Linked DNA regions of Arabidopsis thaliana. The protein of the gene in region 3 interacts with the protein of the main gene of each other region in a pairwise test. Each region holds a gene or a part of one and is shown on either strand. Other genes may lie near its edges. The genes, in order: MC1, AT2G28920, MYB62 and SPL4.

Region 1 (8,082 bases), about 25 Mb from region 3:
TGATGCCATGTTATAAATGCATGCATATATTCAAATCCAAATAAATAGTAGTGTTTTTACAAACGACGTACGAGGGGGTGTAACAGAGGAACTTGAGGGGAGGGAAGAGGTGGAAGAGACGCTTAGGGAAAAGCTCGAAGTTGCAATGTCCCATGTTGTTCATGAAGTCAATGTAAGTAATGTATCCCATGATGGAAACGATGGAGAGGATCCCACACAGGGACGCCGTTACCATAGGTATGGCAAAGAGTAGTGTGTAGGCGATGTGCTCGGCGAAGGGGTGCACCACAGCTGCCAAGTTTGATTAAAGATATGAATGAATGTATATAGAATAGAAGCAAATGGTGGATAAAGGTACGTACACGTGATGGGCTCGGTGACAATGGAGGAGTGGTGGTGAGAATGGTAGCGAGAGTAGAGGAAATGGTGGTGGAGAGCTCTGTGAAACCAGTAGTAGAGAAACTCGACGGGACCAGCGTGAAGTAGAGCCATGAGGATGGCCCCGTCTAGCCTCCATGGGGGAAGGTGGGAGGCGCCTGGGAGCTTGATGTTTGCGAGATACATGAGGAGAGTGTTGAAGATGACTTGGTCGTCCCAAGTGCGCTCTCGGTCCACTTGCTCAAACTCAATGGGCTTGTCCACGATCTTGTTCGTTCCCTTAGCCGTCCTCTGGCGAGACACGCTGATCCATATCTGGCTGTGAACTATTCTCCACAGCATCAACACGACTATCATAAGTCTGCTGAGGTCTTTCTCCTCATCCACAGCCGTCACGTACGAGTGCATGCTCGCCATCACCAACGGGGCCACCAAGAGGTACTTGAAGCTACCAAGGGGACTCCATGGCCACTCCGTAAGAGCTCCGGGCCTCGACGCCATCCAAAGGTACTTGAGCTAGTCTACTGTCGAATAAGTTTGAAGGAAGTGCAATTTGGAGGTACTTGTTTATAATGTGACATAAGAATAATAATAATACAAAGTATTATATAGAGGCATGACCATGTGGGCTCTGATGATACAGTGTTGAAGAAGCACATGGTGGTGGAGCCCCGGTTTACAATAGTAGAAATGTTACAGCAACATTTAATTTAAGAAAAGGAAGGAAACCTCAAACTTCAAATATGTAAGGAGAGGAGCCAATGGGCATTGATTCGCCTTAGCCAAAATTCGGCTTTACCTCTGTTTACACATCAATGTCATTGGCCCACCTCCACCGGCCCCAACGCCGCCCATTTAATGAAGTAAATGAAATTCAAGTCACGTACTTTCCTTCTTTCTTCATTCAATTTCAATGGTTGAGAGCCCAACATCAAATCAAAGCCCAATAACCAAAATGCCTGGTTTTTTTCTTCTCAATAATAGAAATAATGCAACACATTTTTCATTTATTCAGGGACCAGTCAACATCTCCATCAAGCTCATCTCCTTTCAAAAACTTTCTCCTTTTCTGTTTTTTGTTTTTCTCGATTTTTCGAAAATCCGCCAGCTCGAGCTATTACGCTGGGAATTCAGAGGATAAAACACGATATGAAGAACGAAATCAGCATTTTGGAGTTGATTTTACTGTTTCTGTCACTCTCATCAGTGCTAGCTAGCTCCAAATTGCACGGTAACTCCTTGCTTTATCCCCTCATAACATATGCGAATATAGACTTGGATTTCTCGTTCAGCATTTGGCCAGGCTTTATTTTGAATTTACAGCCACTCCCTCTGATTTAATCTCGAGTTCGCTTTCTTTAGTCAGAACCAGATTCGACAGTTTATATTATGTTGATTCGTTTTAGGCGGACTAAGTGTTAGTTAGAATGGTTGCAGGAAACTCAGCTCATGAAATGGTGAGCATCTTGAACCAGAACAGAACAGCTCGGAAACTAGGCAAACTAAATGAGAGTCCCGGTCTTGGCTGCATGGCCCTCCAGTATGTTGAGCTCTGCGAGGGGAATTGCAATGTCAACAACACTCTCAGCTGTGAACACCCTGAAGACGACTTCACTCAGGTGTTTGCCCCAAACTGTGGTGTAGAACTCCCCACTTTTGGTACCATAACTGGCCATATCCTCGGCTGCAGCTCTAAGTATGCAGCACCAGAAGTCGCTTTCTCAGACATTCTCTTTAGAGATAGCAGTGCGTTGTCGGTGCTCAGAAACAGGTCGCATACCGAGGTTGGAGTGGGAATGGCTAGGTTGCATAAAGGTACCTTCTTTTGGTGTCTTCTCTTTAGCGATGGTGTGAAAAACTCCTCCTTTGTACTGGAAGATAACGGCCGGGGTATCAAACAAAGAACAGGCTGCTACAGCGGAAGTGCTTTTCCTTGCAGCAGCAACGCACACATGATTTGTATGCGCCTTCTGAACAGCTTTCTGGGACTTCTCTTCTCTTCCTTCTGTCTATTCGAGAAACACCTTAAATTTTGATTCTGAAAGGCAAACCATTTGCTGCTTGTTTGTAAAGACTAAAGAATAGATGGCACATTTTGTTATCGAATCACCAAATCAATGTTTTCCTTTATTCTTTTGAAAGAAAAATAAAAATAAGAAACAAAAGGTGGTTATATGGACGGATTCTCAAATCACACTCGCTATACATAAAAAGTGACTTGTCCTTTACTAGAGAGTGAAAGGCTTTGCATAGACATCGAATGTTTGGCAAGCAGTCAGTTGAGGCTCCTGTCAAAAAACAGATTTAAGAAAACATTTATCGATCTGTATCAACACAAGAGAGCAAGAAAGAATTTTACCTGTCTTAATCCCCCAATCGCACTTCCCCCTGTCAGAAGCATGCTCAGCACAGTCGTCACAACTCCACCACTACCACCACCATCATTCCCTGTATTCCTTATTGTGGTGCGCATAGAATTCAGAAGGCTTCCATAGGTTGTGCCTTGTGCGCTGCGTTCAATTGCTTGAATAAAACAGAAAGTCATAGCACCCGTAGACGTGATCTTCGACAGCGCCTGTGTATGTGTTTTAATCATGAGAGGAGGAACCAACTACAACAGCAAGACGTATGATTAGAGTCGTTCTACTTACTGATGTGTCGGCCGAAGTCTGATCATCATCACATCCACTAATTGAAATGGCTTCTCCACCAGCAGTTCCTTTCCACAAACCTGACCTAGGCCGATGATCCTCCCACACATACTGCCCAGCTCTGTTTCAATTAAAAAAAAAAATGGATGTATGTTAAATATAACGAGAGAGGTAAGCAACATCCCTTTTAGAAGCGGTTGAGGGACTAATAACCTGTTCATTCTGCATAGGAAGGGTAAATCCAGAACGGTACCACTATGGCAAGCATCGATAATTGAATGGAGCTTGACACCATGTGGAAGAGGGCGTACAATGGTTGCGTTGATCTCATCGTCTACAATCATCCCCTGAGTTTCAAAATCCAGAGGACAGAGTGTTTCATCATAGCCATCAACTTCATCACCGTTGTAGTTTCTTTGACGCGAACCATGACCAGAGTAGTGGAAGACAAGTGAGTCGCCTGCTGTGCATCCCTGTACGAGCCAATACAATGCCATCCTCATGTTTTGCTTGGTCGGGATACGATATGGATCAGTTTCTTCCTCTGAGAATGAAAACCATCCATGATGAACAATTAGTTAGTCAGCTATGGAATGCAACACATTTTTATCAAAGTGGTTCGAAATGGTAACTTGGAATGTGTGTTTATCAGATTGAAGAGGCCAAGGAAAATTGTATTCAAAATCCAAGGAATAGTAGTATAGTAGCAAACATAGGCATTTGAAAAGATAGAAATACTCTGTACCGGTAAGCATGAGAATTGAATCTGGGGAGAATTTGAATTTGTTGATGAGAAGGTGACGCATGCACTTGGCGTCGTTGATGCAGCCTTTGAGCTCGTGGCGAGAGAAACGATACGAGATGCCACAGATCACGGCCCTCTTCCTGCCATGGGGGTGAGGCAGCTGACCGGGAGGCGCGTGGATTTGGGGAGGCGGAGAAGGGGCGGAGGAAGGTTGCGGAGGAGGGGCGGTGCGAGGGTCGGCGATATGAGTAACAGCCTGGCAGAGAGCGCAGCGAATAGATCGGGCGCCGGATGGGAGCTGGAGAGGCGTCCGGCAACCGGAGCAATTCACCAGCATCGGAGGAGCGTAGATGCTTGAGGGAGGTGGCGGGTACATTATTATTCTCGGAAGGGAGGGAATCAGATGAAGACGAATCGGATTACCAAATCGCGTGAGGAAGACGACGATGCAGTCAATGGCGCACGTAAAGAATCGTCGTCAAATGCGATTAAAGGCATCTGACTTTTCTTTGGCAGCTCACCGAACCTTTTACTTTCGAAAGCCCATATAACAGTTTTTAAGCCCAATTCACTACTGGAATCCCTGGATCTGTTTCAGACGCCAGAGTAAAGTAAAAGAATGAGAGAAAGATCTTCTTATTCAATATGGTGGTGGAGAAGCTCTAACTCTCTAACTAAATAAATAACCACTTGCTCTCAAAGTTTAACAGGTATACACCATGATTCACCAATGGGGAGTAAAAAGTAACATTAACAAACACTTTCCACTTGTTTACTTAGATAGATCATACAAACACAGCCATTGCAAATGAAACAACAGGATACTACTAGCTAGGTGATGTTCTGAGACATCATTGGTATTCGAGGATCTGCATTCACGAGAACAACGACCGTGTCTTATTGCGTTCCAGTCGAGCTTCCCTCTGAGAAACAAAATAACACATAGGTAAAGCAGCAAAGAAGTTGGAAACGCCAAAAGCCTAAATATTCATTCACAACAACAACCTCTTTCTTCTTGCATTCCTTGTACACATCAAAATGATCCTGGCATTTACTCTTGTCTGATCCAAATTCTTCAAGACCTGATAAGAAATCAAGGGGTCAAGCTAAGAGGCATAACTAATGAAAACGGAAACACATAAACAATCAGGAATCAAACCCGACGTTATCAATTGATGGGACCTAAATCGAATCACTGACATGGGATTCAACCCACTAATCTAATCACCTTGAGGAAGCATAATGAAATAGATGAGATCTAATCAATGCTAATTCGTTATGGAACTTGACAGTACTGAAGATAACATGTCAAATCCTATCCTCGAAGAAACAATCACAAAGGGTGAGATCAGGAGCATGACTCACATTTGAGAGAAGCAGAGTACTGAAGATAACATGGAGAATCAGATATCCGAGCCGCGCTAGGGTACGCCGCCGCCGCGCCTTTCGTCGACATTTCCCGATCACCGTCTCTCTCTCTCACAACCGATTCCGCGAAGATATCTTAATGGAGATGGGCCTTTGAGACTCTCAGACTTATATATTCAATATCGGGCCTTTTATCCGTCCGGCCCAAAATAAAAGAGCACAACCTAACCTCTCCAATATTAGTCTTAACAAGTAACAACAATCAAACAAGAGAACAAAGGCTAATCCAGTTCCCTAAGCAACACTAATTCCAAATAGCTGTCACAAAAAGGGACACAGCTCTTACATTCATGTTTCACTAGGCAGTCTCTTGTGTACATTATACATATTTCGCATTTCCTCAGTTGACTCCGGTTACAAGATTCGTTTTTTAAAGCAAAGATCTAGGACTATCAGATTACAAATCATCTTGTAGCTGTGTTAGAAGCGCATCGGTCTCATGGGCATCGATTTCACTGTTGTTTACTGTTCTGTTTTCGTCCACATCAATAAGAGCTAGGTAAGATTTGTCTTCAAGATCCCCCGACTGCCTTAACAATTCCAAAACGGCCTCTTTACTGGTAACATCCGATTCCTCTTCACAGAGCTTGAAGAAACCAGACAGCATCAACACCTTGGGCCTCCAATTGCTGGACCCTTCAGCCGAAAAAGCATTTCTAAGACAAGTCAAAGCCTCTGAAATACACCTCTTTCTGGTATGACCAACAGCTAGAATCTCCCACGTACTTGAACTTGGTTTTCCTCCCATTTCAACCATGTGGTCGAACAACCCCTCAGCTGTCTCTAGTTGGTCGTTTTTGACATACGCATTCATCAGAAGATTTGGTATCCTGGGGTCATAAGAAGACTTGACTGGAAGCCATTCCTCATATACCTTCTCGGCCCCTTCAATGTCTCCCATCCTCACCAGCGACGAGACCAAGGCATGGTAACCCAAATTGGGAATGCTCGGGACAACAGATTTGTAGACGTGCCAGACTCGGTACAGCTCTTTCTTGTTACCAAGGCTGCCATACAAACTCAAGAGGTAGTGATACGGAATGCGATTACGACCAGTAATCCTTGCTTCAACCTTCCTCAGTGCATCTTCGGCTTTCTCAGTTTCACCCATCTTTATGTACATTGTGGCCATTGTGCTAAACGTGGTCCAGTTGGGATAAATGGAAACATCCGATTTCATCTGCTGATACACTAGTTCCATTTTCTCAACTGATCCTAAGGAGCCGCAAGAGGAGAGCCAGATGTTGTAGGAGTAAATGTCGAGACGTATATCTTTCTGCTTCATCTCGAAGACCATAGCGTCGACTTTGTCATACTCCCTGAGGTTCATGTAGAGAGTCATCATGACGTTGAAGGGAAGCGGGTGCAGGGCGTAACCTTTGTCCCTCATGGTGTTGAGCAGGGCTTCAGCCTTTTCTCTCGACTTGGCCCTCACATAGGCATTGAGGAGGGAACCATAAACTCTCCGGTCCTTAAAATTCTCAGGGAGCTGGAGGAAGAACTCTTCGGCGTCTGGAATGCCACGCACTTTGCCGATTAAGTCGAGCTGGATTGCAGCATCACTTGCAGACAACCGAAACCTTTCGCCTCTGTTGTTCATCCAGTCGTACACCTATGAAAACGATACGCGATCAAGTAAGTAGTGTTAAAGATACAAAATAAAGCGAGGGCAAATACAAGGAGGACACGGACCTCGAGAGCTTGGTTGGCACGCTTGTACTTGCGAAGCTCCTTGACGACCCGACAGAGCTCCCACTTGGTAAGCTTGCGGCCGGCTTTCTCCCACTGATTCAAGACGGAAGCAGCGCCAAGCTCTGGCTTCTCCATCAGCGAAATCTTCTTGTAGATGGCATTCCACTGGACAATCGGCCTTCTCTCGTAGTCCACCGTGCCGTAGCCATAAACCTGGGAGATGGAGCACACGATTGCTGCCGTCTTCTTCGAGAGAGCAGCTACGGAGACGACAGGAGATCTGCAGCGAAGGAGACGAGAGTAGGAGGCGGAAGAAGCCAGTGGAACATTGCGGTTCTGCACCGCCGCCTGAAGAAGCATCTCTCGTCGTTACTCGTTAGGTTTCGGATAAGTCGAAGCTAATGATTTTTTTTCCTAAACGAGAAGGGGGAAAAGACGGAGGGGTATATTGGTAAAACTAATTAAAAGGACCAATTGATTCAATTGTGACGCGTAACTCAAAGCCCAAAGGCCGATGATGCTTCTGGATGAATTTGTTGAATCCATTACAGTAAGTCAGTAACAAGCATCTCCGTTGTTACATTACATCATGTCCTCTCTGAGGAATGCTACATTACATCGACCCAAAACATTGTCTCTATTTGTAGGATTACCTAACATCCAGGCCATTTCTTATGAAAAGGATCTTCCTTCTTCATCTCCCGGTGCAAGTATACTTTGGCTTTTTTTACCTGCAATTCAACATTACATTACATTACATTCCATGCACCTATTTTGATGAAATACTAGCCCCACGCCCACCGATTTACCAAGACAATGGGAGGGAAACCTCGCCGCAGCTCAAGTCTCTCAAAGCCTTCTTCATAAAATAAGCACTTGTATCCATCTACAGAGGAATGCTCGCTGCACCAAGCATGACAACAGTGTTACATGTTGACCACCAGTGGTATCTTTTTTTATTTACTATGAATTGCTTTCTACTATATGATGAAATACTCACTTCACCAGGTACGTGAAATTTCGGTTTCGCAACTCCTCCACTACTATCTCTTCTTCTTTGGAATATCTGCATTGCACAACAAAATTTTATATCCTCCTAAATAGATAAACAGATACCTCTTCTATGTATTCAAAGGCAATGTAGAATGATCCCTTTTCCAACAAAGTGATATTCGTATCCAAGAAAAT
Region 2 (6,811 bases), on a different chromosome or scaffold from region 3:
ATACGAATATGGTCTTCGAGAAATTAAAGATTTCTTTCTTCGTATATAAAGAAAATTGGTTGCTTGGTTAGAATATACACTTATCAGCATGTTAAAAATACTATCTTAAATTTACTTTTACCAATCATACATTTCATTGTTCAAACAAGTGTTTCTTCTACTTTTGCATGCACTAAATGTTTTTTTTTTTGTTCATGACGATAACAAAACCGATTTACTTGATACTGTGTTTTTTGTTGACTAATCTCTAAATTAATCATATATATACTTTAACTACTGTTTTCCTGATTAATGATTAACTTTGAAAACTGCAAACAACCTTGCAAGTGTAAGCATTTTTCTGTAATAATTGTCTAACCAAAATTTATCTTTAGAAATAAAATAAATTGAAAATGTTGCATAACGTTATATATCCGACATCTAAAATGATAAATAAAGAAAAAATAATAATTGGTCCATAAGCAGATGGCCGGTTGTTGACTTTTAAGGTTCTCAACCATTTCCAAGTTTCTATCGTATAATATCTTTCTTACTTTCTCTTTTTGTCACGGCTCTATCGTAAAATATCAGATTATGCATGTACTTGTATGTTAGCTCGTGACTATTCAAGAAAAGAATAGACTTCGATGCTTTTAAGCTTTGACAAAAAAAAAAAAGCTATTGCATGTGTAGGAATTATCGACACCAGCTTATATATATTACCACATACGAATATTGCATAACTTTGATCAATGCATCCATTTGTAAGAAAATTGCAAAAATGTCAAAATCCCATGAAACTATATTAGCCATTTTTTTTCTTTTAACTATCCAACTGTTATGAGTATACCCTGCAAAGATTAATTTTCATTAACCAAAAAATTTGACTAATGCGAAGCTAGATTTTTCTTGTGACGTACTAGTATATAACAACTCCTAACAAATATATTGGTTAATTCAAAATGTTTCCGACAAAGTTATTAGACTTTTCTAGATTTGATTTTTCAATTCCTCCAATAGACGATTCTATTCAGTATTCACCATTATATCAGATCCAGCTACCATCCGACTACATTTACTGGTTATTCTCATAGAGGATGAATAAACTCTCTCTCTTTTTCTCGGTCAATGAAAAGTCAATTTTTTAAAAATTAGATCATCACGTCAAACGCAACAAAACATACTAGAACATTGATTTTGTACGTATAAGCTTCAAATGTGATTTCATCTAGAAGCAAGGAAGGTGTTGACGAAGAGAAAGAAAGAAATTAATGTAATGAAAAGTCAAACAAATTGATGGAGCAAATGTCAAAGTGGGTTATGATGTCACCGTAGAACATATAGTGATGCTTGACTCTTCAAATGATGATGCTTATTCCGTACGGTTCACATGTACTTTGTTAGTTTTGTCTGCACAAAAGTCAACGCCGAAATCGAAATTATTAAGAGGCAGGTTAGGTATAGAGAGAGTTGTCAAATTTTCCCTTTAATGTGACATATCTTATCAACAAAAATGAACAACAAATTCTTTTGTAAAAAAATGTTTTTAGCAAAAAATAAAAGAAGACAAGACTAATGAAAGAAGAATTCATGATACAAAAACAAACTCGAAAATAAAGACTAAAGGACTAAAGGTCCATAAAAGTTGTGCCTTTGTAGCCTCAATTGTGGAGGATAGGCTTCGGCCCATAAAACACTACGAGACATATGTGGTATGTAACAAACGACTCGGACAATACAAAGAAAAATAATTTTGATTATTGTGAAATAAGCAAAGAATCAAAATCCACAATAAACGGAAATGTTATATATATCACCTTCATCAGAAGCATCCTGATCAGAATCATAAAACCAACATCATCACCCACAATTAGACTCGTCATCCTTAACCTCATCGAAACCAACATCATCACCCACAATTAGACAAAAATTTAAGCAAAGATCTTACGAAAACAATTCACATATTCAAAGTTGAGATTCTAAACATAGAAAAACAAATATAAGACTGTTTTGAGTCTTTAGGTGCTTCTAATAAGTTACCACATTAAGTTGATAATTAATTTATTGATAAGTTACGACATTAAGTTGTTAGTTCAAGATGACTCCTATAAAACATATGTTCTGTTATCCTCAAAAGCAGCATCAAATCATATACATATACCTAGTACTAGTACTAGTACACATAGAATTCTATTTTGATCAACTGAATTAAAGTTCCACATTGCCCTCTACAATGAAATTTTTGAAAGAAGAGGAAGAACGAAAGGAGAGACGAAGAAAAGGAAGTTCCACTTGTCCAATAAATAAGATCTAAAACCAAACAACAGAAAAAATGTAAAGATATACGGAAACCAGATAAAATTGTTTAATTAGTTATATTTTCTACAATTATCTAAGTAAGTATAATGCATATAATTGTTAACTACTTTAATATTTTGAATGACCGAATAATAATTTTATTTGAATAAAAGTATGTTAGTCGATAAAATTAACATGTATTATCTTCAAAGTTTTGCGATAATATACAAAAGGCTAAAAAATTTATAAAATTATTAACATACCCTAAAGTGTTATTCTATAATTTGATCTTATTAAAATTAATAACATAAATTTAGATTTCCGCAAATTTTGAAACCAAACCATGATCGGTATAGTGTTACAAAAAAAACCGTAATCGGTAGTGTCCATTCCTATAAATATGTACACATACATCACAGTTTTAAATACCCGGAGAGAAATCTTTAAGATCGCCTCTTAAATTTCTAAATCCCAAAGACAGTAAAAATATCGAAATTGGGATTAAACCGGATCGTACCGAACATTAAACCCTAAACCTGCTCTCTTCTCCCTCTACCAATCACCACCAAACCATTGAAACGGAGCTCTACAAATCGGACACGTCAGCTTATAAAAACACCACGAATCTATACAATCCACGTGAAACACGTGCTTGCATCTCACAAGAACTCTAACGACGTCGTTTACTTTAAAATCCTCCAAACAAATCACACACACGTCAGCTTTAACTCCGTCACCGTCTCCGCCGTCTCCACCGCCGCATTTCGTGAGTCTCACGGCGGGAGGTAATGGCTCTCCGGCTTCCTCATCGCCGATTTCTTCCTTTGGTAGCTTCGGGTACATTACGAAACAGAGGAGAATAATAGAACCGTAGAAGAGGATAATAAAGACGACGCAAAGAAGTCTCAACACGATTGATTCTGATCCCATCACTGTCGACATCTCCGGTGACGCCGCCGCCACGTAATCCCCACAACAACTTGATGCCATTTTTTTATTTTAAGAAATTAAATTGGCTTATTGGAAAATTTTGTGAAATTGATTTGAGTTTATTGAATTGTGGGGATGCATAGTGATGTTCTTAAATATGGATTTTTTTTTTTTTTGTTATAGTGTTAATTACGATTAGTGTGTGATGAACTGGTGAAAAACTGAATTAACGCAATTTAGTTATAGTTATGCGGAGAGGAATGTGGCGGGAAGGATTAAGAGGAGAATATTCGAGCTAATTAAAATTGTTAATTGGAGGTTAATCATAAACAAGTTATGAGTTTTTATTTCATTTTATTATTTGTCATGAAGATAACACAAAACTAACTAAATTTAAATTAAGCTAATGCGCAGTTTTGTTTGTTTTTTATCTGGAGTTTTTTTTGTTTCAGTTACTATTTGATGATGGATGATTACAGCAGTAAAAAAGAAAAACACATATTAACTACTCAGCCAGGCCCAGCCCAAATCCCTCTCAACGCAGCCAGGCCCAGCCGAATTATGTGACAAAACTAAAAATGATGAAATACACAAAATTTGGAGGATATAAATGTAAAATAACAAAAGCTAAAGGGCGGTTCCAACTATTTCCCAATCTTTATAATATACCCTCGAGACTTTCCAATCTTTCCTTTTTGCCTCAGAGGCCATTGGCGAAGAACAAAGTTTGAACCTTTTCTTCATCCATCTCTCTCCGTCGCTTCTTCCTAACGATTCCTTCACTCGAATCAGGTAAACTATTTACTCTTCTCTTTCTCTTTAGGATCGATTGGAACCCTAGGATCTCTGAGTTTTTCTTTCACATTTAGGATCTATCCCTTTAATCGGCAAATTAGTATGTGAGCTTTTGATGATTTGGGGCTTGAAACCCTAGATTTCAGCTTAATCTGGGTAATTTCATTGGGTTGTGAAATTTCTGTGTAATTGTATTTTGGAGAAGATATTGATTTGGTTAGGTATTAATCAATCTATATTTCTCTGTTATTGGTTTAGGTTTGTGAAGGTTTTTTCTAGGGTTTCGAAAAGATGCCGGCGACAGCAGGAAGAGTGCGTATGCCCGCAAACAATCGGGTGCATAGTAGTGCAGCGCTTCAGACTCATGGAATATGGCAGAGTGCGATTGGTTATGATCCTTATGCACCAACTAGTAAAGAAGAGCCTAAGACGACACAACAGAAAACCGAAGATCCCGAGAACTCGTACGCGAGTTTTCAGGGACTTTTGGCTCTTGCTAGGATTACGGGTTCGAATAACGATGAGGCTCGTGGTTCTTGTAAGAAGTGTGGCCGTGTTGGGCATTTGACGTTTCAGTGTAGGAATTTCTTGAGTACTAAGGAGGATAAGGAGAAAGATCCTGGTGCGATTGAAGCTGCGGTTTTGTCGGGGTTGGAGAAGATTAGGAGAGGTGTTGGTAAAGGTGAGGTTGAGGAGGTGAGTAGTGAAGAGGAAGAGGAGAGTGAGAGTTCTGATTCTGATGTTGATTCTGAGATGGAGAGGATTATTGCTGAGAGGTTTGGGAAGAAGAAAGGTGGGAGTAGTGTTAAGAAGACGAGTTCGGTTAGGAAGAAGAAGAAGCGTGTTTCTGATGAGTCTGATTCTGATTCGGATTCTGGAGATAGGAAGAGAAGGCGGAGGTCGATGAAGAAGCGGAGTTCGCATAAGAGAAGGAGTTTGAGTGAGTCTGAGGATGAGGAAGAGGGAAGGAGTAAGAGAAGAAAGGAGAGGAGAGGAAGAAAGAGAGATGAAGATGATTCTGATGAGTCTGAGGATGAAGATGACAGACGTGTGAAGAGAAAGAGTAGAAAGGAGAAGAGGAGAAGGAGAAGCCGTCGTAATCATTCTGATGATTCTGATTCAGAGTCTTCTGAAGATGATAGAAGACAGAAGCGGAGGAACAAAGTCGCAGCTTCTTCTGACTCAGAAGCAAATGTTTCAGGCGATGATGTTTCACGCGTTGGACGTGGTTCTTCTAAGCGGTCTGAGAAGAAGAGCAGGAAACGTCATCACAGGAAAGAGCGAGAGTAGGAAATCGATCTATATGAGCCATTTTCACTCTCCATTTCTCTCTTATCAATGTTATGTACAATAATGAAACATGTCTTTGTATGTTGGATTTGATTTGTGTTGAAACATGTCTTTGTATTTTCACTCTCCATACTCTGGTTTGGTCTGTTTGTTTCAAGCTTGTGTTATAACACTATTGAGATACTTGGTGTTAATTTGTGTCTTTTTACTCTATTCCATTATTTACGTCGGCAAGTTAGAGCTCACGTCGGCAAGTGTCGTTGTAAAGAGATCACGAGACTTGTGGGTTGGATTTTTGGCATGGCTCTAGCCTAGGAGGACAATGTCGTCATTTAACTGGCTCATTGCTCAATACATATCTCGTCGTGGGTCCTTGTTAATCTCTTCTCCACCGTTGAACCATAGTTTAAAATATCCACCGTTAAAAGCCCCTTTATATCCCAAGAAATAGGTGAACTTGTTACAGAACAAGCAAAGATCAAAGAGAAAAATATCCCAAAACCAAAAACAGAGGAAGAAAGAAGAAGAAAAGATGCCTTCAAGCACATTCTCCGGGACTGTTAGCACGCCGAAGCTGTCGGTGGCAGTGGACATGGGAAACCCTTTTCTCAATCTCACCGTTGATGCCTTCCTCAAGATCGGAGCTGTAAAAAAACTCATCTCTTTTTGATGGATCATTTTGTTAATTTGTGATCTGTTTCTCATTGTTGTTTTCTTCTTTGATGGGTTTTAGGTTGGAGTCACTAAATCTCTTGCAGAAGACACTTACAAGGCCATCGACAAAGGTAAGCCCTTAACTTTATCAAACACAACACATAAGTGTTAGTTCTTGTTCTGTCTAGTTTTATTATGTAACTTTACTGTTGTGTTTTTGGTGATGTTGATGAATTAGTAAAGGCATAGAAGAATGTATTGTATATATATAGAACAACTAGCACACACCTTTGATGGATCTGTTTTTGTGCTTATCATTAATTACCTTTGTTTGTTGGAGCTGCAAAATATCATTTTTTACTCCATGGTTCATATATTGTAGGGAGTCTCTCCAAGAGCACTTTGGAGCATGCGGTGAGTACACTACTGAATCAAATCTATGTGTTTTGGTTTGAAGACATGTGTAATCTTTTTTTAAGTTTCTGAAATTTTTGTTGAATATTGTTGCAGCTTAAGAAGTTGTGTAAAGAAGGTGTTTACTGGGGTAAGTTGCTTTCTAATTTATCTCATTTTTGAGTGATTAAGAAAAGTCTAAAGTTTGTGGCATATGAATATGATCAGGAGCTGCTGGTGGAGTGTACATTGGAACAGAATACGGAATCGAACGTATCCGTGGCAGCAGAGATTGGGTATACTACTAATACATTTTCACACTCTTTTCAATTCTTACAGTTTTGTAGAACTAATTGGTTGAGTTGTTTGTATCAGAAAAACGCAATGTTAGCAGGCGCGGCGACAGGAGCAGTGCTCTCAGCGGTTGGTAAGAAAGGCAAAGACACTATTGTGATCGATGCCATTCTTGGTG
Region 3 (7,680 bases):
TCAAAAATTTTAGCTCGTTCAACATACGAACCATAACCATTGGAAGACTCTTTCTCTATGTGCTATAGTGTGATGTTGATACTTACTGTCCTACAAAGTGGCCGAAAGCTTTGTGGTAAGAGACTAAAGAGAGTTTAGTCTTTTCACGCATGTGATTTTGATTTAGTCAAAAAACTTGAAAGAGATTGTTGTATTATGCGCTATCTAGCTTTTTTCATTCTTCTTTTTACCTCCGTCGACATCATTCAATCTTATTTTCTACCTCTACATTGCTCAAAAGTTTAATAATTGGTTCGACGAATGTGGATTTTATCGTGTATGAATATTCTTTAAAGAACCATAGAACCACATGGAAATATTACTCGATTTAGGAAGGAATAAGGTGCCCTTTGCCTTTGGGATTTAAGGATAATGCTGCTGACGTTATCGTACTCTTTCACTATACTTGATTCTATGCTCTCTACATGTGTATTAGTGCAGAGTGCATATGGCCTCACTTATCCTTCAATTCCTTTTTTTATTTTTCTTAAATTGGGATGGTTCATTGTTTCTATGCTCTCTACACAGTCGACATGTGAGATACGAGGTTGGTTCACTATTCACCGAAACATGACAATCTATTCATGTCTTAGGTTTGACTATAATAGTTATGGAAGTGAAGATATAATCTGTTTGAACAATGTGAACAAGATGAACTCGGAAACACGGAACAAGAAAATGAGCATATATATATATATGCGTAATACGTGTAACGTGTGGTTGTAAGATTTGGTGCCAAAACAACACTGTTTACTTTACGAGATGGTCATAACTTTTGTTGTAAAATGTCTTGTTTCATGAACTAAACCAGCTGGTGTTCTTAAGTTGGTGCCTCTTCTTAAACAATAATCTTGACTTTTGACTTTCTCTAGTCTTTCATACTAACCTACGGCCTACCTAACCATACCAACGTTAATATACCAGTGCCACCCACTCTACTTCCCCATTATTTGTAGTAAGACTTTTTTTTTTTTTTTTTTTTTTTTTTTGGTTTGTAGTATTTCTTAACCAAAAAGTAATTTAAAAGACATATTTCTCCAAACTAAAGATTAGAACATTGTACGTTAATATATTTTGTGTGAACTGAAATATTTGGTCTTTTTCTCCCTGATGTTCTTTTCGGGTTCAACCGATGGAACTATCGATTTCGGTTCATAACTTTTGATATTTCTGCGTATCTCCAAATTTTTGATAAATGAGTATTGCAGTAGAAATGTTAGTTTGGCCCATCTCGACCTTAACAAGCCATACAGTTCTACGACACTTTAAATTGAACTTGCCTATTTTAAGATCAAGGTTTGGTCTCACTATCTGCCTGGTTGTATGGTCGACCAATCCGCAGATATATAAACTATTCAGACAATATAAAGATTAAGCTTGGTGATATGTAGACCAAACATGACTTCACTTTATTTGTTTCCCAAAAATTTTTTGAACATGAGAATTTCGATTACAGTGATTAAAATAAATGTGCTTGTTAAGTTGGGAAAATATGATTTTTTTTGGTTTCACTCTAATACCATATCAGTCGAGAAGGTCCGATCGATAGCCCACTTTTTATTTTGTGTGGGTAAGGGTAACTGGAGAAAACCGCAAAAATAGACACTTAACTACTTGACTAAAAACATTTTTCAAAATATATATGATTTTATGCAATTAAAATTCCACAATATATAGATCATTGTCATTGGAAATGAATTTTGAAGATGCAAATGATTTGGCCGCGTGGATTATGTTCTTACAAAATTTGAAATTTTTTTGCAACTAACATATATCCGTAATTAATGAATATTTGACCTATACAGTAATGTTTCTATTCAAATTGGGTCCACGTTACTCATGTCTTTTCTAAAAGTATTTGGCGTTTATCCACCAGTTTTAGATATTTAATCTTTAAGTTATACAATTTTATAATTCCACGTCCATAGCAGGACCATCTACGTTTCTGGATTCGATCATAAGGAATTTTTTTTTTTTTTTTTTTTGTATATTGTCTGAAATACTAAAATCTTTACATACACAATGAGTGTGATCTATCGTTCATAACCTCTCAAAAGTGCATCAATGTTTGTTCCAACTTTTAGTGGTACCCTTTGGGTTCAAATCATTGTGGAGTTTCCATGTACTTATGAAAGGCTTTTGAAGTGACCTCCAATAATTCGATCCCATTAACAAGACTTCTCCAAAGCCACCTTTCTCTATCATTTTAGTTGAAGCTCTTTTCAGATAATTATAATAAATAATTGATGGGTCCTTTGTCTCTATTATCTTCTTGAACCAACATTGATTACTGCTGGTATACAAAATGCGCATATATTAAAACTTTTGTATGGTTTGTCTAAATGCGTATATATTAAAACTTTATGTAAGAGCATTCAACTATGTAATCAATTCTTTTATTATTATTTATGATTCGTTAATTCCACAAAAAAACGATTTATGTCAATCAAGCCAAATGCCCTGTAATATTGTCAACGATCTTACAAAGAAACACATCAAATTTGGTGAAGGGACAGATGGTTGAGTCTCTATCCCCATCATTTTAATATCTTGGATAGATCGACTCTCCTAGCTTTTGGGTTATTTCACCTGTTGAGGTGAGATTAGATATGTTTTCTTCTCACTAAAATCCACACAAGTCTCAAAGATTTCAAGACAAGAGACTACCCTTTACTATTTACTCTTAAGTCTAGTCATGTATAAAATTGACCTGGTTAGTTCATAAATTGAAGTTCCATACACTGATACAAGATTTCTTGAATTTAAAGACTTATATAACAAACAAACAAGCATTATAAATAATTATCCAAACATTGACTTTGATCACCAACTAAGAGGAAAAATTTAGACTAATTTAACATGTTTCAATTCCAATCCGAAAAGAATATGATTAAAGTTTAAAACTTCATAAAATTCCATACATTGATAAAAGATTTCATGAATTCAAAGACTTGTACAAGAAACTATCATTATAAATATTTATCCAATGACTTAGTAAGTACTCGCAACAAAGAAGATACAAATTTAACATGTTCTAGTCTCCAACCCGAGATAATATGGGTAAAAGGTTCGAAACTTTTTGCTTAGTTAAGCAAAAGAAGTATATTAGTCCATATAATAGAACCGTAGTGGTAGGCTCTACCATCTCATCTCTTGACGACTTAATTACTCCCTAAACTGCCAAATGTCATCCACATTCCACATGGGATCTTGTGTAACATCCTCGTACGCTGAATAACCATCCGCCACGTGACATTCCATTGAGATGTCCGAGTTTACCATGTAATCCTCCATGCCAGGAACATATCCTCCGAATTCTTGAACATTGCCTTCATGGAAACACATCGAGCCATCGATGATATTGGTGTTGCTTTGATCCATAAAGTGTGGAACTGTTGTTAGATGAGACATGCAAGTAGAAGTTGAAGAAGAACCGTCTATGTTGCTGAAACCCGAGTAATCTATATCTTTTTGCATACTTAAAGAGTCGTGAGATTGAGAAGGAAGAAGAAGAGAGTTGTTGTTGTTGTTTTGGGGACAACAATAAGTAGTAGTAGTGGATGAGTTTTGTTCCATCTTCTCGATCAATCTAGGGACCCAAAAACTACGAACAGCGTCAAAGAACTTGTCGCTGTTAGATTCGATGTTGAGTTGACGAGCTTGTTTTTGAACTCTTGTTCTCCAATAGTTCTTGATCTCGTTATCCGTTCTTCCTGGCAAGTACTGTGCAATCTTGGACCACCTTAGATAACAAATATTCGTTTAGGAAAAAAGAAAAAAAAAACAAAAAAAGAAAATAAAAGACTCTTGAGATATGAAAGTGACTCATCACTCACCTATTACCCCATTTAGAGTGAAGCTCAAGGATCAAAAGCTGTTCTTGAGGAGTAAGATTCCCTCGTCTTATGTCGGGTTTCAAGTAATTCAACCATCTCAATCTACAACTTTTCCCAGTTCTCTTTAGCCCTGTTCTCATTTTTGTTAAAGATAGTGATTATATAGTAAAGTCAGAGAATCTAACTAATAAACCAATATCAAGTTCTTGATTAATTACCAGCACATTTGGCGACGTGATTCCAACGACCCTCACCGTTATGGAGGATGTAATTTGTGAGAAGTGTGTCTTCCTCCAAAGTCCAAGGCCCTCTTCTTAGTTCTTCATCTTCACTTTCTTTGAAGCTCTTCTTCTTCTTCATCGAATTTTCCATACTTAGTTTAAGTTTCCTAATTACTTAATGATATTTGGTTTGTGGTGTTTTCGTATCTTTTAAGCTCTATGCATGCATGACTGTATACAGAGAGAGAGAGATAGACTTTTAGGTGCTTTGAGAAGTGAAAGTGATTCAACAGGTTCTTGGGAATTTATAGACTCGTGGTCGTGGTATTGGAAAATGTTGTTACTTTAGCCATCAGCTTGCTTTTTTCCAATGAAAAATTAATTATCACACGTTTCCAAATTAAAGTAAATTGTTTTACTAAATTAGCTTCTCTTTTTAACTCATACAAAATATTGTTATTTTTTTAACATTGCCAAGGACATTTATACATTCTAAAATTGTCAAAAAACATGTTTTAACTCATTAGTATTTGTTATCACAAAATATCTCATTGACATTTTCTTAATCGCGTCTCTGTTTTCATCTTACGCATGCAATTTTTCTGAAATTATTTTTCGAGCTACCATTGTTCAAAAGCCAACACATATATGATATATGCAAACATTTTTTTTTTAAATCATCTGGTTTTTGTTTCAGTTAAATATGACTTTCTTAAAAAAAAAAGTTTTGGATTAGTCGAATCCTGCGATGAACCCTGGTCCAAGTATATAATTCATTAGAAGCATAGAATATATCGATACAGTTTCATAAACTTTTTTATGCGACGATGAAACAGAAATGGAATTTTGGTGATTTAACTCTATGGATTAGATGTTCACGTGAAAAGAATATGGAACAGAATTTTGGAAGAAGAAAGTACGATTTAGATTCTTAAATACTAAATTAACTATACAGGAAAAGTTTACAATAGTCATATTCATAATATGCTATAGAGTTCATTTTTAACTCTTACCTCTGTGATAGTGTATACTAGTCATTTTTCTTTCTTCTACTTCTAAAATTGTCTTTATCCCAACTTTGGCTAACAGTTTTTATAAAAATTTTGGTTTTCTATTTGGTAATGTTGCTGAATATTGAGATTGAACATAGTTTAACATAATTATTGGTATGGGAACAAGAAGCATACATGATACATGTGTCTTGACTCGAGACAAACAAGATATTACAAAACCTAATAAACCACTGTCCCACAAATTATTGATTAAATAAAAATTGTACCAAAACAATCCAAAAATTGGAATAAACACTCCAAATGTTTGATCAAGAGTCAAGACTTTTTGTTTAGTAGCTTTGAGCTATTGTGGTCGATGTGGCATCATCCGAATTCATATCCATATATTACATATGGTGTAATGAATGATATAAATTCTTGTAACTTTTATGTAAATGGTAAAACTAGAAGACAGCTATTTTTAACAACAATTTTCTAGAAGCCAGCTAATTTATGCGGACTTAGTATAGCATATTATCCTTTCAAACTTTGAATATTCAAAGATTCTTCTTCCTATATTAGTTTTCATTAGCTCAAATCGTATTGTATAATATTTTGTTAAACAAATAATAATTTTGGAAAAATAAGGAAGGGTCGTGTCGCTTTACACCGGCAAGTCAAAAAATGTCTATGTGCATGTATTAAAACTTATGGTATTGCTAATAACTCTCACTTACTGTTCAACCCAATCTTTTGAAGATGATAACTCCCAAAAACCAAAACAACATGTAAATAAAGCCTAAAGACCAGGAATAAAGAAAACAAAGTCGATTTGACATTTGTGTCTTCATTATCCTCTCTTATTATATAATCAACAATGACATAATTGTTACTATGTTATTAGTAACAGTCATTTTTGTTCTATAGAATTACAGTTACATTCATTTCCTTCAAATATTATCCATATAATTGGACTAACGTAAACAAATTTAAATATTTTTTGTCGTCTACAACTCACATACGCATATTTTCAAATTTAAACTCTACTTATAGCATAACAATTAACGACGACAATAATCAAATCACGAGACTACAAAAGAAGATGATTGATTGTTACCCGATTCTCGAGTTCGTCAACATCTACAAGATATATATGATTGCAAGATTCTATCGGAGGGTTACAAGTTATGCAACTAGGTTGATCTTGAGACCAAGTTGCTATATACAAGATTCTTGTTAAAGTATGATTCGAGTCCCATACATTATACAACGAAACAATAAACATCATATACTCTGGATAATCGAAAACCTAAAGATAAGTTGGGACACAAAAAGAAAGTGTGTGTTTCAAGTTTACATATCCTTTCCAAAAATATCCATCTCATTATCGTTGTTTCCTTTTTCATATATCAATACATCTAAGAAGAAGAAGAAGAAAACAGCTTTTTGCTTCATAAACAATTTGCTGACTTTGTAATAATGCATTAAGAGAGAGAGAGATGTGAAGTTCCCAACTTGATTGATGTATATGTACTTTGAAATCGAAATGACACGTCAACTTTTATTAAAAAGAACTTGTGTTTGAGACTTTATTGAAATGATTGAGAACAAACTTGAAATCAGAGTAAGTATTACAATGCAAGTCCTAGTCGATGTGATGGATCAAAATCTTTGCAAATAAAACAGAGACATGTATTGATAGTGTAAACTGAGACCACCAGGCTTGTGTAAATTACTTGCTCACAAGAAAATAAAAGCAATTCACTCTTCTGATGGCAGGCATTCATCAACCATCTCCACGAGGTTTGGATTCTCTAGTGCAGCCGCCACACGTTCTTTATCGTTTAGTTGTTTATTCACTGCATTTTAAACACCAAGAAACCAGACATCATGTTAAAGAAGTACACTCGATGTAAAGCAAAACATGCATACCAAAAAAGATGGATAGATATTGAAAAATGACATACATGCATCTTCTGTTGCATGAGAACCAGGTGCTACCCTTATATCAATCTGAAAAATGAAGATTCGTTTCAGAGGACTGAGGCACATAAAACATTGTGCGAGTGTGTTTTAAGGCAGTCCTAACTATATATAGTAGAGGCTAGGGCTATCTTCTCTTCGCAAGTATCAAGAACAGTTGATTAAGAATGAAAAATTAAAAAATTTCTCTGCCTCATATATCATCACAAGGAGAACATGTGTTGGATCTCAGTTACGTTCAAACCACTCTCGATAATGTATAAATCAGAAAATGGGCTCAGAAGATCATCTTGACAAACTTACAGGAAAAGGGAACCGGAAAATCTTAGAAATGAAATAACAAGAAAGCTTTGTACCTTGTATCGAGAAGGAAGGCTTCGTAGAAGTTTCACACGGACACAAAGACCGATAACGGTTGCCATGCTACAATGTTCGACAGTTGGAGTGAACGTAACCCTGAAAAGAAATGGTAGAGCTCAACAGATTGGCTCAAAGGAACACTAAAAATCCATAACAAAACGTTCAATCCCAACATTTTACCTAACATAACTGTTCTCATCATCCACTTCAACTGAGTCTTCTGTAACTACTCTGAGATCTTCCAGAGTA
Region 4 (7,699 bases), 5.8 Mb from region 3:
TAAAAGTTTTGGACACTAGTCGCTAAACCAATAACAATATAAGTATATAACAACCAAAATATTAAATTTTTGTTGATTATTAGATTAATCATTTTTGGTGATTAGGTAAATTCACTAAATTGCTAATTGTTGTCGTTTGTCATTGTTGTTGTCAACAATAAAACGAATAAATTTTTATTTTAGCATAAGCAAAAAAAGAGAAAGAAAGAATCATTTCGATATATGATAATGAGATAAACCCACCATATGTTTGGGCTTAATTGGCCCAATTAGGACATATTCTCGTTTTCCTCTCTCTCGCTATCTCTTGTTGCATTTTCGAATTTGGCTAAAATTAGAGTTGTGAAATAGGCAGTTAACAAAATTGAGAATATTACGTAATTAGGCACTTTTTGGAAAGTTAATTCCTAATAAGACACTTTGAAAAGATCAAACACTTTCGATAGGTTATTTGACTCATTTACCCTTTAAATATATTTCTTTTTTGTTTCATTTTATTTGTCTCTCTCCTTCTCCTCTCTTTTCTCTCTCTTACTCTCACAATCAAGCGAAGAAAATAAAAACTTTTACCATGATTTTGATCTCTCTCTCCCCCTCTTCCCATCATCAGTTAACTTATCAGTTCGTTCCTCAATTTTGTTATAATTGAATTTCTAGGATTTTGTTGAAATCTGAGATTCAGATTTTGCTCTTTCTCTCTCTCTCTTTACTGCAAAATTAGAATGAATCTTTGCTCTCTGGGATAGCTTCATTAATCAAGTTTCGGATTACAAAAACGATGTGAAGCAATCTGTCACCATCTTAAGGCGTAACATCAAGCACATCCGCGATTGGCTCGAAAAAGAATCCTCCGCTACCTTCTCATAGTTAGTACTCTCTCTCTCTCACATGATTCCTATTGATTTTCATGTCATTATCTACAATTCTCCATCTAACACACTAAGCACATGTGTTCATGTCTTTGATTTATGTCATTATCTCCAATGCTCCATCTTACATTTCTTCAAATCTTTACTTATATCTTAGATTCGTTCTCCAGTTAATTCTGGGTATCAATTTGATATAAGAAATTGATTAAAAAAAATTGTTTCCTTTTTTCATTGTTTTTTATGTTTAGCATCTAGATCTGCAATTGATATTGGTCGAATTTCGTAAAGATCACATTTTTACGATTTGAATTATTCCAAAAGTTTTCGTTTTTTTTCCCATCGAATCTGATTCTGGCGATTATCGTTCATATATAAACTTGTGTATTGAAATGAAACGACCCCGTGAGTCATTAGATGACCACATGGACTAAACCTGTTGGACGATCATCAATGGACACATGTTATCTTTGATTTGCTGTGAATTTGTTTTATCTCTCAGTAAAATTATCACTTTCTTGTTTATGCTTACAATATATTTTATGGTTTAGAGTTTTGTTTTACGATTTTGGATTTAGTGGATAAGTATTAGGAATTGAGGGTTTGGGTTTAATTTTAGGGTAAGGAATGTAGGCTTTAGTGCAGAGCCTTAAGGGTATAAGGTTTACACACCACAAACCATTTGCTTGTGTCAACGATATTGTCTCATATTCTAAAAAAAAGTTTGTTGATGGACCTTGTATTGATATATATAAAATGAATTGTTTGGATAAGTTTATGTGGACAATATATATTGGATACGTTAATACGTAATTAGGAACATAGTTTAATATCTGATATTTGTTCGGCATATATAATACTACTTAAGCTAAAATATTTTTATTTGATTTCAAGCATTTCATATAATGTTTACGTGGACAATATATATTGGATACATAATTAGGAATATAGTTTAATATATGATATTTGTTGGGAATGTATAATACTACTTAGGCTTAAATATTTTTATTTGATTTAAAGCATTATATATAATGCGAACTGTTTGGATATGTTTACGTGGACAATATATATTGGATGCATAATTAAGAACATAGTTTAAAATCTGATATTTGTTGGGAATATATAATATTACTTAGGCTTAAATTTTTTTATTTGATACAATATTTGATTAAACTAAATTTTTACAGATTTGACAATTAATTTTTAACTTGTTATCTCCATCTAATGCCACGTATATTGCTTTTAGTAATTGGCAACAAAATTAACTCATCTACAGTTTTTTTTCCTTCTCACGTTTGTAAAGGGTAAATTGGTCACAAAATCAATAAAAAAAGGTGGAAAAGTGCTCACTCACTCAAAAGTGTCCCAAACGTCCAAACTTTTGTTATAAGTGCCTTATAATGGAACATTCCCTTAAAAATTCTACCTAGTGAAATCTCTCCAGGAAAGAATCCGTCAAGGTCTAAAACCACTCGTTACTACTTGAATCGGCGCATTTAGTTCGTCTTTCTTTGCCTCTTTGTTGTTTAGTTCATGAGAATCGGTTCATTTGATAGGATCTTAGGTTTAACATGATGTTTCTCTAAGAGTAGTTATTAGGAATTTGGAGTAGTAATAGATGTTGGGGGTTAATCTGATAATTCATGTAAAATCTTTCACTTAAATGTTAAAACTTGTTAGAATTTAAAGTTGCTACGATTATTGGTTGTAAAGATCATAGCAGAGGATGATTAGGTCGGTTGCAAATTACATTCATTTCCAATTACTTGTGCAGTTGTGCTCCAAATTTGTTTGAGAACATCTCAAAAGTCACATTTTTTCTTGTTTAATAATTAATCCTGTTATCTCTAACTTTAGTATAGTCATATGTATTTCTGATTCAAAATCAGGTAATGTTGCAAACTGGTCATGCATGCCAAGGGAATAAGATAATTATTGATGACGTCTAAGGAGTCTCTCATCATAGCAAGTGATGGACCCTGAAAGGTTTGCTTCCACTATAATCTACTCTCAACGATTTACTAATAATGGTAGGTGTTTATTCAAATATTCTATTCTACTACTATGTTGGCAAGGAAAAGCTAGGATGATATATCTCCTTCGTGGCTCTGAAACTTCAGAGTGACCGTGGCTTTTGGTTAGTAGTTTCCCTGTGCTTTTGGATAAGTCACACTCCTTACTCGTATCTGTATTCAAAACGTTTACCAGTTAGCATTCACACATCGACTAGGTAGAAGTATTACACATATCATTAGCCATATCTTTGAAACATACAAGATAACACTCAAGGTTCAAGTATAGTCTTAGCGTTTGCATATAGCTGATAACATTAGAGAGTACTAGAGAGAGTGGTAGTTATTTATTTCTCTATAACATTGTTAGATACCACAATTTTAGGATTCTAAGAGAGAAGTTTAGATGACAGAAGAGAGAGAGCAGACAGCTTCTCTATCTAATCTGTGGTCGCTTGAATGATGAGTTTGGCATAGGAAGTGTCATCTCTACCCTTGATCTTTCTTGATTCTGCATCACCACCTGACCATTGATTCCTCTCCGACCTGATCCTTCTCCATAAGTACTCTCACCAGAGCTCTTCCTTCTTCGCTCATTGTGTCCAGCTAAGCGCCTCCTGCAACTTCTCTTAGCTTCATCAAACTCTTGGAGGTCATGAAACCTGTTTCAAGAACTCAAAAAAACCATTCAAAGATCCAGACAAAAAGTTTTTTGAAGGGTAAATTAGGTTGTACGTTACCTACTGCATTGTTGACAAAAGCGTTGGTTAAGTCCTGAGAGAAAGACAGAAGATGCCTTTGCATGAACTTCACACACTTTGTGTCTCCGGTGATACAGTTTTGCCTCTTTCATATCAGCTGTGCATCTATCTACTTGGCAAAGCCGCAACGAGCCACCACGATTGATGCTACCTCTAGACCCTCTAACTCTATCCCTACCTACTTCCTCTTCTTCATCCGTATCAGTCTCCATATCTTCTTCCACAAGGTAAGACTTCTTTTTCATGTAACCTTGTCCTTGTGATCTCTTACCCTCCATTTTGGAGTCTTATAAAGATGGTTTGTTGGAGGAAGGAAACTCTAATAGGTTAAGCAATGTTTGAGGAATGGGACTTGATGATATTGTTGACGAAATTGAAGGGTTTAAAAGGTGAAGTAAAGTCGGGAGATGGACCACTGTGTTCTTGTACGTTTCTCTGGTGGAATAAGTGCATGATTACGTTGATGTGCTAGCTCAGAAAAATAAAAATTAAAGTTTGGGAAAGAAAGAAAAAGAGATTTACATAGATAAGTATTAAAAACATTTTCATTAGTTTGTTTGATTTAGATTCAAGAAATAATTGATAGTAATATGAAAACTAAAGATCAGTTTTCCTAGTTTAGTGTTTGAAGTTCAATCTGAAAATTTGTTTCAAATTTAAGATCTTTTTTACCATGATGATATCATTGGTTGCCTTTAAGAGGAAGTCTTTATTGGCCTGCCACTGTGTGCAATAGTACATCAAGGTCCATAATTTACACATAGGCTTAAACTCATAACAATCTTTTTGTTGTTTAGGAACAAAACAAAAAGTACTCCTAATAAATTGATGTGACTATTGAATTCGTTTGCTTGCAACCTTGAGGTCTTCTTTTGGTAGACTCTTATTGGAAATGCATTTACCGTAACTTAGGATCTGATCACTGTTTTTTTGTTTGATATATATTGTTTTTTAGACATGGATAATTATCACGTGTATGGACCAGGACAAACAAACGAATAGAGTAGATGCTTATATACGATCTAACCCTTTTGATTTCTTTCTTGTGTTAACATTTATTATTATCACTATTGCTTATATAAAGATTCTATGTAGAAGTGGAGGAATTACAGATTGAAAGATGGAAATAGAACAAATGAGATCACTTACTTTAATTAAAGTGTTGATGCAATAGATATCTGGAACCATTTTAAGACAGAGATTTGTTGTGAGTTCTAATGCATGTTTTTCTTTTACTTGTTATCACCATGAAAGTAATAAAAGCCTCTCACTTTTACCTTCCTTTCTTTTTTACAGTGTGTTGTGTGGAGAAGCAATCACTGACAGATTCCACTGGCATCATCATAATTAACTCTCTGTGAATAGTCAGTGAAACAAATGAAAGTAACTTTGAATCTTTGAGTTGAATAGGTAAAAAGAACCAACAAAGCAGGAAACAGATAAGTTCACTGATTTACTCAAGTGTGTAATTTTCCTTAAACATTTTACAGTGTTGTTGTCTTATTGTTTCTGAAGTACTAGAATTAGTGGGTAGTGAAAGAGACAAGACACAAAGGTTTCACATGCGACATTGTACTCTCTCTGACTTTCTGCCTTGCCTTACCTTGCCTTACCTTGCCTGACGCAACTTAGCTTTTCCAAAGCCAAAAGCTGCCTTTTTTTTTTTTTTTGCATAACTGAATAAACTTTGTCCCTATGAGTTTCCGGTTTGGGTTGTTCCTGAAAGATTTATTTAGGTTGATTTTCAAACCAGAATTAGATTGAGATGTAATAAACAAATTAAATCACACATTTCTATATTCATTAAACATTATAACAATTCGGTTTCGATTTACAATTGTTTCCTTTGTTTTCTGTTTGTGAGTTGTGACTGTCCATGTGTCACATCTCTCTTATATATGTGCAATTGTAAAATTTGTGTCATAAGTAACTTACATAACCTATGGGTAAAAACAAGTGATAACAATGATTCACTTCTTGGAATGTTATAATATGTTGGAACTTGAAAGTTTTTGTTAGTGTAAATAAAAGTGGTACTCTTGGAATCATCTCAAGTAAAAGGTTGATATTCAAGTTTTGGACTATCTAACAAAAAAGGTGATTCCAAATTGTGACCTGGAAACTTTACATATGTATATGATCCACGAGAAGAAGAATATATATTAAAAACAGTTTTTTTTATATAAAAAAAAATCTTTCAATCTGAGTGATAAGAGTATTATGGATGATACTAATTTGTTCGCATTAAAACTTTTACAAATGTTGGATTCTTTCCTTTATTCATATTCTGCATTTACTTACTTCGTTCCCCCGCGTCGCTCTTTTTACGTTAGCAAACAAAACGGACGTAACTATCCGTAGGACCTTGTCCGTAGCTACACACCTCCATTGATTTTTTTTTTAAGATGCCTTTGGTTTTAGAATCCAAATTATATGATTTGTCGAGCTCAGTGATCAATTTTGTCAAATTTATGTTTTGCCACGTATCAAGATTTGCATGGGTTATAATATACAACTAGCCAGTTAATAGAATTTGTTCAAGACATATATCATCAAGATTTGCATGGATTATATGGCTAGTTAATATTTTTATTCGAAAACATTTTAAGGTATTTAAAACTATATATGCGTAAATATTATATTACTTCTCTACAACGTGTATAATCATTTAGATCAAACTATTAAAGATTTCTAGTTTAGGTGCATATTTATATTTTTTATAATGTTTATTCTAAATGAGTCGAATACATTATACATGAATTACTCATGCTAATAATAATCCCAGAACCGGTTACAAATTTATGGCAGGCCTTACTCAAAAGTCAAAATTATAATTTTTGTAATCATTTTTGAATGTAATAAGCTTATAAGTGAAAAGAACGTGAGAAAGTTTCATAAAATTTAAGTCAAAAAATCAGAACAAAAACAAAACAAAGTTTAACTTTCAATAACCTATAATTTTTTGAGCCCTAATCGTTGATTGGTTTATGTGACCTCTGGACCGGCCCTGAATAACCGTGATAATCATACTTATTAATTAACCTTCAATATAGAAAACAAAAAAATAAAACCAAATATCTGAATATTGGTCCATTAACTTTTGGTCCACTATCCACAACATTGCTAGAGTAGTAATCTTCAACAATACTAGAGCATCTTTGTGTATGCTTGTGAAAATAAAGTTTTGGAAGTAGTACCAACAGATTTCGAATCGATTCCTGTGAGTGCCAAAAGCTATATTATTACTTTCGATCACACGAGGAATGAGATTTGTCTCTTCGTTTATAGGAATTTCAACGGAACAAATCTTCTTCTCAGATTCTTTCATATATCTAACTATGCGATCCAGCTATCTCTTTTACATACACCAACAAAACTATATCCATTTGCATTCTCATTTCTTACGTCATAAATATTTACACTTGACAAAAACAAATTTAAATTTAAATAGAATATATTCCAAAACGCCATCTTGTATTTATCCGATGTTCAAAATTCCGCTATACGCTAATCGAATGTTTCGGAAAAACCTTATCAAAAATCCCCCTATGATAATTCAATTTGAAATTAATTTTGATACGGGATTTGATTTTTTTTTTTCTTATAATTAAATGATGTTTTTTAAAAAAAACTGAAAAATAATAAATACATTAATCGATGCTTAAAAATATTAATTAGACAGACGTCTAAAACATCTTGTAACCAATTTATTTCTAACATTTTAAGGAAAAAAGAAGAAGAAAACAATAATATAATGAGCTCGATGATGAGTGACATGGAGGAACATCTGGATTTATGCATGTGGACACTTACTATTATGTTATGTTGTGTCTCGTTACGCCATCAAGTTTCACCAAATCTTTTTGTTTTTTTCTTGTTTTTCACCATTTTTTTTTTCTTTTTATATGTTTGTTTATTTACATATATCTCCTATACGATTACAAATTACAGATAAACCCATATATTTCTAACAGAGCCCTCCTTCAATTCTCATGTTTTACATATTCTCCCGAATCCCATATCTTTATCGGCTTTCCTGTATAAGGAACATCATTTGGCC

What was found.
Region 1: the proteins of MYB62 (region 3) and MC1 interact in a two-hybrid assay, tested with the Arabidopsis thaliana proteins (one large-scale study listed by BioGRID).
Region 2: the proteins of MYB62 (region 3) and AT2G28920 interact in a two-hybrid assay, tested with the Arabidopsis thaliana proteins (one large-scale study listed by BioGRID).
Region 4: the proteins of MYB62 (region 3) and SPL4 interact in a two-hybrid assay, tested with the Arabidopsis thaliana proteins (one large-scale study listed by BioGRID).

What each region holds. Positions count from the first base shown.
Region 1 is NC_003070.9:407,951-416,032, reverse strand, and holds MC1 (metacaspase 1), read right to left. Parts: upstream 4,370-8,082; 5' UTR 4,151-4,369; coding exon 3,775-4,150; intron 3,574-3,774; coding exon 3,243-3,573; intron 3,151-3,242; coding exon 3,030-3,150; intron 2,954-3,029; coding exon 2,738-2,953; intron 2,667-2,737; coding exon 2,607-2,666; 3' UTR 2,479-2,606; downstream 1-2,478. Other genes in the region: AT1G02190 (Fatty acid hydroxylase superfamily), read right to left, coding at 72-291, 363-879; AT1G02180 (ferredoxin-like protein), read left to right, coding at 1,528-1,609, 1,816-2,414; AT1G02160 (Cox19 family protein (CHCH motif)), read right to left, coding at 4,672-4,856, 5,140-5,230; AT1G02150 (Tetratricopeptide repeat (TPR)-like superfamily protein), read right to left, coding at 5,600-6,814, 6,895-7,254; ALG12 (homolog of asparagine-linked glycosylation 12), read right to left, coding at 7,548-7,625, 7,704-7,797, 7,895-7,960. UniProt on the Arabidopsis thaliana protein: Cysteine protease that cleaves specifically after arginine or lysine residues. Does not cleave caspase-specific substrates. Acts as a positive regulator of cell death.
Region 2 is NC_003071.7:12,414,473-12,421,283, reverse strand, and holds AT2G28920 (RING/U-box superfamily protein), read right to left. Parts: upstream 3,268-6,811; coding exon 2,830-3,267; 3' UTR 2,708-2,829; downstream 1-2,707. Other genes in the region: CXIP4 (CAX interacting protein 4), read left to right, coding at 4,294-5,292; OEP16-1 (outer plastid envelope protein 16-1), read left to right, coding at 5,825-5,938, 6,026-6,077, 6,329-6,360, 6,457-6,490, 6,568-6,635, 6,715-6,811.
Region 3 is NC_003070.9:25,600,409-25,608,088, reverse strand, and holds MYB62 (myb domain protein 62), read right to left. Parts: upstream 4,414-7,680; 5' UTR 4,248-4,413; coding exon 4,094-4,247; intron 4,006-4,093; coding exon 3,876-4,005; intron 3,782-3,875; coding exon 3,205-3,781; 3' UTR 2,908-3,204; downstream 1-2,907. Other genes in the region: AE7 (MIP18 family protein (DUF59)), read right to left, coding at 6,850-6,947, 7,056-7,101, 7,428-7,527, 7,612-7,680. UniProt on the Arabidopsis thaliana protein: Transcription repressor of phosphate (Pi) starvation-induced genes. Negatively regulates Pi starvation responses via the repression of gibberellic acid (GA) biosynthesis and signaling.
Region 4 is NC_003070.9:19,802,696-19,810,394, reverse strand, and holds SPL4 (squamosa promoter binding protein-like 4), read right to left. Parts: upstream 4,133-7,699; 5' UTR 3,918-4,132; coding exon 3,619-3,917; intron 3,541-3,618; coding exon 3,315-3,540; 3' UTR 3,053-3,314; coding exon of another isoform or gene 3,005-3,052; 3' UTR 2,690-3,004; downstream 1-2,689. UniProt on the Arabidopsis thaliana protein: Trans-acting factor that binds specifically to the consensus nucleotide sequence 5'-TNCGTACAA-3' of AP1 promoter. Promotes both vegetative phase change and flowering.